2 linked regions of the Bombyx mori genome follow. The protein of the gene in region 1 binds, or shares a complex with, the protein of each later gene. Links are inferred from orthologs where the notes say so. Each region holds a gene or a part of one and is shown in the gene's direction. Other genes may lie near its edges.

Region 1 (5,904 bases):
CCGTTAGTAGATCGGAAGGATCCGAGATGACGTGTTTTGGGCGACGTCGACTGCTTTCCATTCTGTCCGCAGGATCGGGAATACTTGACTGGTTACTGTTGCTATCTATAGAAATAAAAATTCTTACTTTAGGTGAACTATTAGTAGTTCCAGGTTCCTGCTTCGTATGTAACAGATGATGTTGTTGTACTGTTGTTGTTTGTATTGTTTCTGCTTGACCCTGTTGATTGTTCGCTTCGGTTAAACTCTTCAAGCCACCATTAAGTATTGTATGGTTTAACTGTGATGCATCAATGACAGGAGTCGCTATTCCTTGAGCTTGCAGTGCCCTTTTCATTAGAATTTCATTGCACTCTTCTGCCGTCAGTTGTAGTGGTCCAAGGGGAGTCATAAACGACTTTGATGTTAAATTTGTTGCTGCAATTTATAATTTATTTTATTGATTTGGTTCACATAAGTTTATTGTTATTAAATATTAACATGAAACCTAACAATATTGGTCAAATTAACCTTTTTTTTATATTTTACATGTTATAAAATTGTTATGAAACTATAAGAAAATTGACAGAACATGCTTTTAATATTTTCTTCACTTTTTAGTTTTAGTTTATTTTTCTCTTTTCTAAGAAAAAAACTAATATCTGCATTAATAAAATCAGTATTTTGTTATTAGGAGTCAATTTAACTGAGTGCAGTATGAATAGATAAATAAGAACTGTCAGTAGATTTTGTATTAAATACTTACAGAGAACTTTATTTATCTAATTTAAGCTTAAAATTAAAATTTAATTTGAATTTAAGCAATTAATGCTAAATAAGCAAAAAGCTGACTAGTAAGCGATTGTAAGCCTTAAAACAGTTAATAATACCCACTATGTATTGTCGCTGTTTGGTTTTGTTGTGAAACCCTGTTTATAGTATGGGTTGGAGCTTCATTCAGAACAAACATAGCTCTCCTGGCCGTCACCGGAGCTCCTGCTGTGACAACCCTTGTGACTTGAGCCCCCGAGTTGGATACTGCCACAGCAACAGCACCCACTTTATCTTGGACTTGCGGTGTCTTGTGAGACATAACAGTGAGTGTTGTCTCTGGAGACACCTGAAATGTTTTATTTATTGTTGATTATTTGTTTTTATTTATAAAATGATTTTAAGTCTTTACTGAAATGAAACCTATTTTGAAACAAAATAGCACATATAAGTACACAATTTCATAATAGCTTTTTTTTGTTGCTAAATATTAAAATAACTAGAAAATTTACTTCAAGTGAAAGCTGATTGTTGTTAATTTCATTCAATCTTGCTTATGGTTAAAACTTTGAGAGGATGCACTTTGAAATTAAAGTGCACAATAAATGTTTACTCTAAAGTGCTTCAGTTATTTAATTTATTTTATTTAGACCTTACCGTACTCCCAAGCGAATAACTGAGGCTGCTCGGAGTTTCGACATCGCCCTTGGTAAGGTCCGCGGAACTCGTAAAGCCCCAAGAATAACCGAAACCCGAAACATTGTTCGGTGTTGGCATACACATTTTCACCACAATATAAACTTCACTACATAGAAATGTAAACGCACTAACACAGATTCACTATTTGATAGTAAACAGTCCTCATGACAGTTTTATCATTGCGAACATGTATGTACGACCTCACAACCACACACGCAAAACGCACTCATTGACAGCGACGCCGAATATCAAGCGAAAACAACACTAATTTACAACTTGTGATGGTGTTCTGTGTAAATAACGATGAATCTTAACTTTAGACGACATCTAAATTAGTTTAATCAACCCAATATAAAAGGCGGCCCAGAACAACGACGCTTCAACGAACATTGACACGCACATTATTTACAATAAATAGTACGTTATTAGAAGTCATATATGCATTTATAAGCTTCATAATTACATATAAAATAAAAAACACTTTCGTATGTCAAAAAAAATTGGAGAAAATCCAGATTTTTATGAAAACAATTAATTTATCGCACACACAAAAAACCTGACGCCATTTTATTATTTATGGTCATTTGAAAACTGAAGCATAAACTTTTAAATTTCTAGTTTTTTTTTTGTCAAAGACAAACTTTATAAAATTCTTGAAATTAGTTTATTTTTTAAGCCCTATAACTAATCAATCAAAGCTGTAGTTTCACTAAAAGATTTTTGGTATTATGAATAAATGTACTTCTCTGCATACTGTTCTACTTTTGAATTAATTTCTATTTAAATTGGCTGAATTTTTCATCCTAAACGCTTTAGAACTAACAAAAATTACGTGATTTAATTACACCACATTCTTTACATGAAATGTCAATATTCTTGGGGTATTTTTTAATTTATCTTAGTTACTTGATACATAGGTAATAAATTTATGCACTCATAGTCTGACTTCTTTGCAATATTACTAATTAAGACAAGCTCTTCAAGAACTCAAGTACCTGACTTTTCATAGATTTAAGTATAATCTGCCACCATCATGTTCTTTATGGAAATTGAATACATATTTTATGATAGATTTCAAATTTGAAGTAAACTAAACCTACAAATAAATACATCCGTTCGTTATGTATAATAATAATAATATTAAAGTATCAACAGCTAGCAATATAAATGTAGAAACAGCCTGTCATCAACTGTCACTGTCAACTTAAAATTACCAAAGAAAGTATAAAATACCTACCTACCTAGGTAGGTACATAAATATAACAGTTTAAACCTTAAATCTGAGTTTGATACTTTTTCCCTAACATATAGATTCAATATAGAATTGACCTATTTCCCGTTTATGAAATAGACATAGACGTCTTAAAATTCAAAATGAATCCGATGTCAATGGACCGAGATGAACCTTCCTCATTGTTATCATTTTCCTCCAATCACCCTCTAGAACAGTTTGTCCTTTTAGCAAAGGGAGCTAAAGGTTCTGCGTGCGCTGAACTCATCAAACAGGTTCTGGAGGCTCCAGGAGTGCATGTTTTCGGCGAGCTATTAGAGATGCCAAATATTAAAGAGGTTAGAAAACTTACCTTTATATCGATCAATTAATTCTAATACATTTTTAACCATTAAATGTATGAAACTGTCCGAATTCTATGGGTAGAAATCAATTTGGCGCTCTTGTTAAAATTCATTTTATTGTATTTTTCAGCTGGAGAGTGGACCTTATGCAACTCATTTAAAAACTCTTAATTTGTTTGCCTATGGCACATATAAGGACTACATTGAGAACAAATCGGACTATTTAGAATTAACCACAGTCCAGTGCAAGAAATTACAGCATCTGACCATTGCAACACTTGCAACACAAGAGAAATGTATCCCTTACAGTGTGTTACTTGAGGAATTGGATATTAAAAATGTTAGAGATTTAGAAGATCTTATCATTGAAGCTATTTATGCAGGTGAGTTGATTTTCCTACTATAGTGTATATACAAACAGTCCCTAATAAAAAAAGTGTCAGAGTTGTTGATTCATAAAACAGTATTAAAATTCAAGTTTGACTACATGCATTTTATACCTTGTTTTTTTCTTTTTCGAGTTATTCTTGTGGTGTATATGAGAAAACAATTCAGTGCCGAATTTGATGTAGTATCTAATTTATTTAGTTCATGTTTTATATAGATTAAAGCCACATATATAAAATGTGCATTGATAAAGAATACATATACACTAAATAAGCATAACTTCTAAAGTGTCCATATAAAAAAAAATCATTAAATCTTAAATGAATTTAGCTACCAATACAAATAGGAAACTGATGCTACAATGACATGAGCCATGAGCCCTACTATTATGTCTTCAGATAATTTAATGCATCTTAGTGGAATAAAGTTGGTATGAAGTCGTCGTGGCCTAAAGGATAAGACGTCCGGTTAATTCATGTTGAAGCGATGCAAAGGTGTTCGAATCTCGCAGGCGGGACCAATTTTTCTAATGAAATATGTACTCAACAAATGTTCACGATTGATTTCCACGGTAAAAGAATAACATAGTGTAATAAAAATCAAACCCGGCAAAATTATAATTTGCGTAATTACTGGTGGTAGGACCACTTGTGAGTGCGCGCGGATATCTACCACCGCCCTGCCTATTTCTGCCGTGAAGCAGTAATGCGTTTCGGTTTGAAGGGTGGGGTAGCCGTTTTAACTATACTGAAACTTTAGAACTTGTATCTCAAGGTGGGTGGCGTCTACGTTGTAGATGTCTATGGGCTCCAGTAACCACTTAACACCAGGTGGGCTGTGAGCTCGTCCACCCATCTAAGCAATAAAAAAATTACTTAATTAAAAAAAAAGTTTTATCATAAAAAATTCAATTACAATTTGAGGTTTTACAATATAACTATTGGTTTACCTTATAATTACAAGTACTTATGCTTAGTAAGTCAATGTTATGTTCCCTGTTTGAGTTTGTATGCCCTGAAAACAGTTTAACATCCTTTTATTTATCCATATAAGCATATATTTATTTTGATTTTTCTTTTACTATTTTATTTTGTTTTTACCTTCGTAGAAGGGGAGATCAATCTATTCCATGTGGTAGTAAGTAGTTGTAGGGAAACAAATAAATCTGAATGTGAATATAGCAAGCAAACATCAATAAACAATTACTTTCTAAAAATAGCATTTTTGCACTTCTCATTATGACCATGGCAACTAATTAACAATGCATTCCTTTTAATTATTACTTGTATAAAATTAAGTTCAATAAAAACCTCATTAGACAGATAGTGTGTATTCTTTATTTTACATCAATATAAACATAAATACAAAACATACATCACACAAAAGTAGAATGGGCAGTCTTATTGTCAAGAGGATTCTATTCCAGATAACCATGAAGTGGACAAGAATCACATGAGGAAATAAATTAACCGCAGTGTACTTATTAGTTAAAAGATATTTTTTTAAATATGCACAATATAACAATATATAGATATACAGTATAAACTCATTAGGAGTAGAATACCTTGACGATTTGAATATACATACATGATGTTGAACTATTTTACTGTTACAATAGACCACTCGCACGATAATTGGAAATAATTTACATACTATACTTCCATAGACATAATTCACGGCAAGTTGGACCAGGAATGTAAACGTGTGGAAGTGGACGTGGCCCTTGGCAGAGATGCGCGGCTTGAAGATGCAGCTTCCATTGCTGATGTCCTGGCCGACTGGTGCAATGCTTGTGAAGCAGTACTCAATTCTGTAGATCAACACATACAGAGAGCTAATCATCAGAAACAGAAGGCTATCAGACATCAGCAGGGTATAGAACAGAAGGTGAGTGTTATATTATCTAAGGTGCATGTATATTATATAACAATTCCTAAAACAAAAACATCATCATCAAATACAATGTTTGACCTTCTAAAAATCATATAGTTCTTATAAAAATCTTCGATCAACAATACTATTATTGATCAAGCTCAAAATAAAAAAAAATACATAACTTTATGACCCATTCGGAATGTAGGTTCACCACAAAGTATCAATCAGCAAGAAATTCAGAGCTTGCACTTTTAAAGATAAATGTATATTTACAGTTCTGGATGGAAATAGTCTTCAAAATTCTCTTAACTATTATTTTTTATCCTCCATATATATACAATTAGATTCAGATCCATAAGTAGACATGTGACATAGACAACTGCAGTGACACAGTTTAAAGGAGCATGCATTCGATTCACTATGCTTAGTGCGAGTTTTTTTACTTCTCGATCTTGTAAAAGTTAACCGTGTAGGAGTTAGAACAGTGTCCCTTCGTTTGCCGCTAGGTTCGCTGTTCCAACTTCATACTTATTTGAGTTAACTTTTACGCAATCGAGAAGTAAAAAAACTCGCACTACGTGCACAGAACACTGTCTATAGAAAGCAGTTTAGTGTCGC
Region 2 (2,263 bases), on another chromosome or scaffold:
TCATCTTCACAGAAAATGTTCGAGAAAGGACTCTAAACCTTATCGGAAGATCGTACAGTTCCATAAAAATAGATAAACTGATCTCAATGATTGGTCTCAGCAGGGAAGCCACATTACAAGTCTGTCAAGATCGCAGGTGGACTCTACATGATGATGGCATGACAGTGAATCCCTTACCCCCAGCACAACCAGCCCCATTGCATACTTCTAGTGAAGATCAACTTTTCAAACTAACAGAATTTGTGTCATTCTTAGAAAATTAAGTAAGTTTCGAAAATAAATCAGTTTCTAGATTAGATCTTAATTAAAATCCCAAAGTTGGCTTTGAAGTAAGCAACTCAGCCTGTAGAGTCTAAACCTTAACTCTCAACCCCTTGAGGGAAAGTGGCATTAGCTATGATAGTTAATAATACTAAATGCCTCCATTTTGTGTCATCAAATTACTTCAAGAACTGCAATAAGTTAATTGATAATTTGTTAAAATAAAACATCTTATATAAATTGCAATACTATTCTGTTTTGCAAGTTATCTTTTGCAAGTAGGTGGTGTGTTTCTAAATACCCATAAACTTTTTCAATATGAACATTTTGAATTGTAATTGGTATTAATAATAATATATCATAGATCAGATATCTATGCTATCTTTTTTAGGAAAATATTGTATTAAATAATAGATCTATAAGTTTTAGCTGAAACCCAAATAATAATACAGAAAAATAAAACACTAATCCAAATATTCATCAAAAGCTAATGAAACTTGGATAAAAAAATTACTACATAATTGCACACAAAGCAGACGGTTCTCTGTTGCATACTTCAAAGCCTGCTCTTAATCGAAAGCTATTTAATCATTCAAATATATAAATGTAGTTACAACAAAGGCACATTTTAACTAAAATTTCTGGTTTTAGGAAAATATTTCGAATTTGAGACTAAATTTGGTCTTCAGTTCATTCAATTGCGATTGCAATATCCAAAAGAACTTAGAGGTTAAAATAAAAGAATGTCATTTATATTTAATCTCATTTATTAACAAAATTGGAAGTCTATAATTGGTAAAAAAAAATGGTTTTCTTAACTTCTACTGAGATTATAATGGAATAAAAAAAAACGTAAAATAAGTTGGCAGTGTAAATTGAAAGAGCTAAATAAATTCTTAATTAAAATAAAGCTATTAATTCTAAAATAGTTTTCAGTGACTCCTTTTTACTCCAGTCACACTAGTAAATTCAAAAAGATTTTTAAAATATCACAAGCAGTTATTTTTAATTGTAATCTCATAACTCCTATCCTTTTTTAAAGTAAGAATAAGTCACTTGGGACGATTGTTTTGGCAACTCTTAGTTAAAACCTCCCTTGGAATGAAACTTGGTTTTGTCTTGGCTGAAGTCGCATGGAATTTGAGTCATCGTCGTCCCCGAGTGAGGCTTCGTAGGCCCTGTTGATCTGTCCTCCGTTGGGCTCCGAGAATACATCCTTCACTGAAATATTAGCATTCGATGCTCTATGACGAGGTCCAACGTTATTATTGAGCTGAAAATAGTACAATCATTAGAATACCATGGTTACGGAAAAACTTAATAACAATATAAATCATAAAACTAAATAATAAAATAATTAAAAATATAATATTGTTTAAATACTATACTAAATACTGATGGAGATATTTGCGGCAGGGATGGGTTTCACCATTCTGCCTATTTCTGCTGTGAAGCAAACATGTGATCCCGTGCAGTTGTGTGGTAATGTCGAAGTGTTAATACCTCATATCTGACGCATACGTGATGTTGATGGGCTGTTTTTTTTTAAGCTTAGGTGGACGATCTCACGGTCCATCTGATGTTAAGTGAGTAAGTGCGGGTTTCATTTTTATTACACGATGTTGTTCCTTCATTGTGCAAGTCAATCGTGAACATTTGTTGAGTACGTAACTCAGTACAAAAATTGGTATCGGCCTGGAATTCGAACACCGTTGCATCGCAAGATACGAATGCACTGGACGTCTTATTCTTCAGGCCACGACGACTTTAAACAACTTTAACTATTTACCACGACAGTAGGCGGACCCTCTGCCCATCTTCAGCAAAAAAAACAGCATGTTAACTATTTCATACCATTCCAGTAACACCGTATTCATTATTAGCGCCAAGTGTCTGCATTTGCGACTTCCTTCTTTCTGCCATTACAGAGTTACGACGGGTCTCTAAAGCTTTCAATGTCTCCCTTCTCAATGTCATTTTACGATTTAAAACTGGGGTACCT

What was found. The genes of interacting proteins can lie anywhere in the genome.
Region 2: COP9 signalosome complex subunit 7b (region 1) and COP9 signalosome complex subunit 8 share a complex: the UniProt entries of both Drosophila melanogaster proteins name them as parts of the CSN complex. The link is inferred for Bombyx mori from reciprocal best matches to the Drosophila melanogaster genes CSN7 and CSN8.

What each region holds. Positions count from the first base shown.
Region 1 is NC_085114.1:3,666,282-3,672,185, reverse strand, and holds the start of COP9 signalosome complex subunit 7b, read left to right. Parts: upstream 1-2,431; 5' UTR 2,432-2,823; coding exon 2,824-3,018; intron 3,019-3,154; coding exon 3,155-3,407; intron 3,408-5,077; coding exon 5,078-5,298; intron 5,299-5,904. Other genes in the region: zinc finger protein 615, read right to left, coding at 128-417, 874-1,099, 1,408-1,533. UniProt on the Drosophila melanogaster protein: Component of the COP9 signalosome complex (CSN), a complex involved in various cellular and developmental processes.
Region 2 is NC_085110.1:11,097,396-11,099,658, reverse strand, and holds part of COP9 signalosome complex subunit 8, read left to right. Parts: intron 1-12; coding exon 13-263; intron 264-912; exon of another isoform or gene 913-1,345; coding exon of another isoform or gene 1,346-1,534; intron 1,535-2,115; coding exon of another isoform or gene 2,116-2,261; intron 2,262-2,263. Other genes in the region: chitin synthase A, read right to left, coding at 1,346-1,534, 2,116-2,261. UniProt on the Drosophila melanogaster protein: Probable component of the COP9 signalosome complex (CSN), a complex involved in various cellular and developmental processes.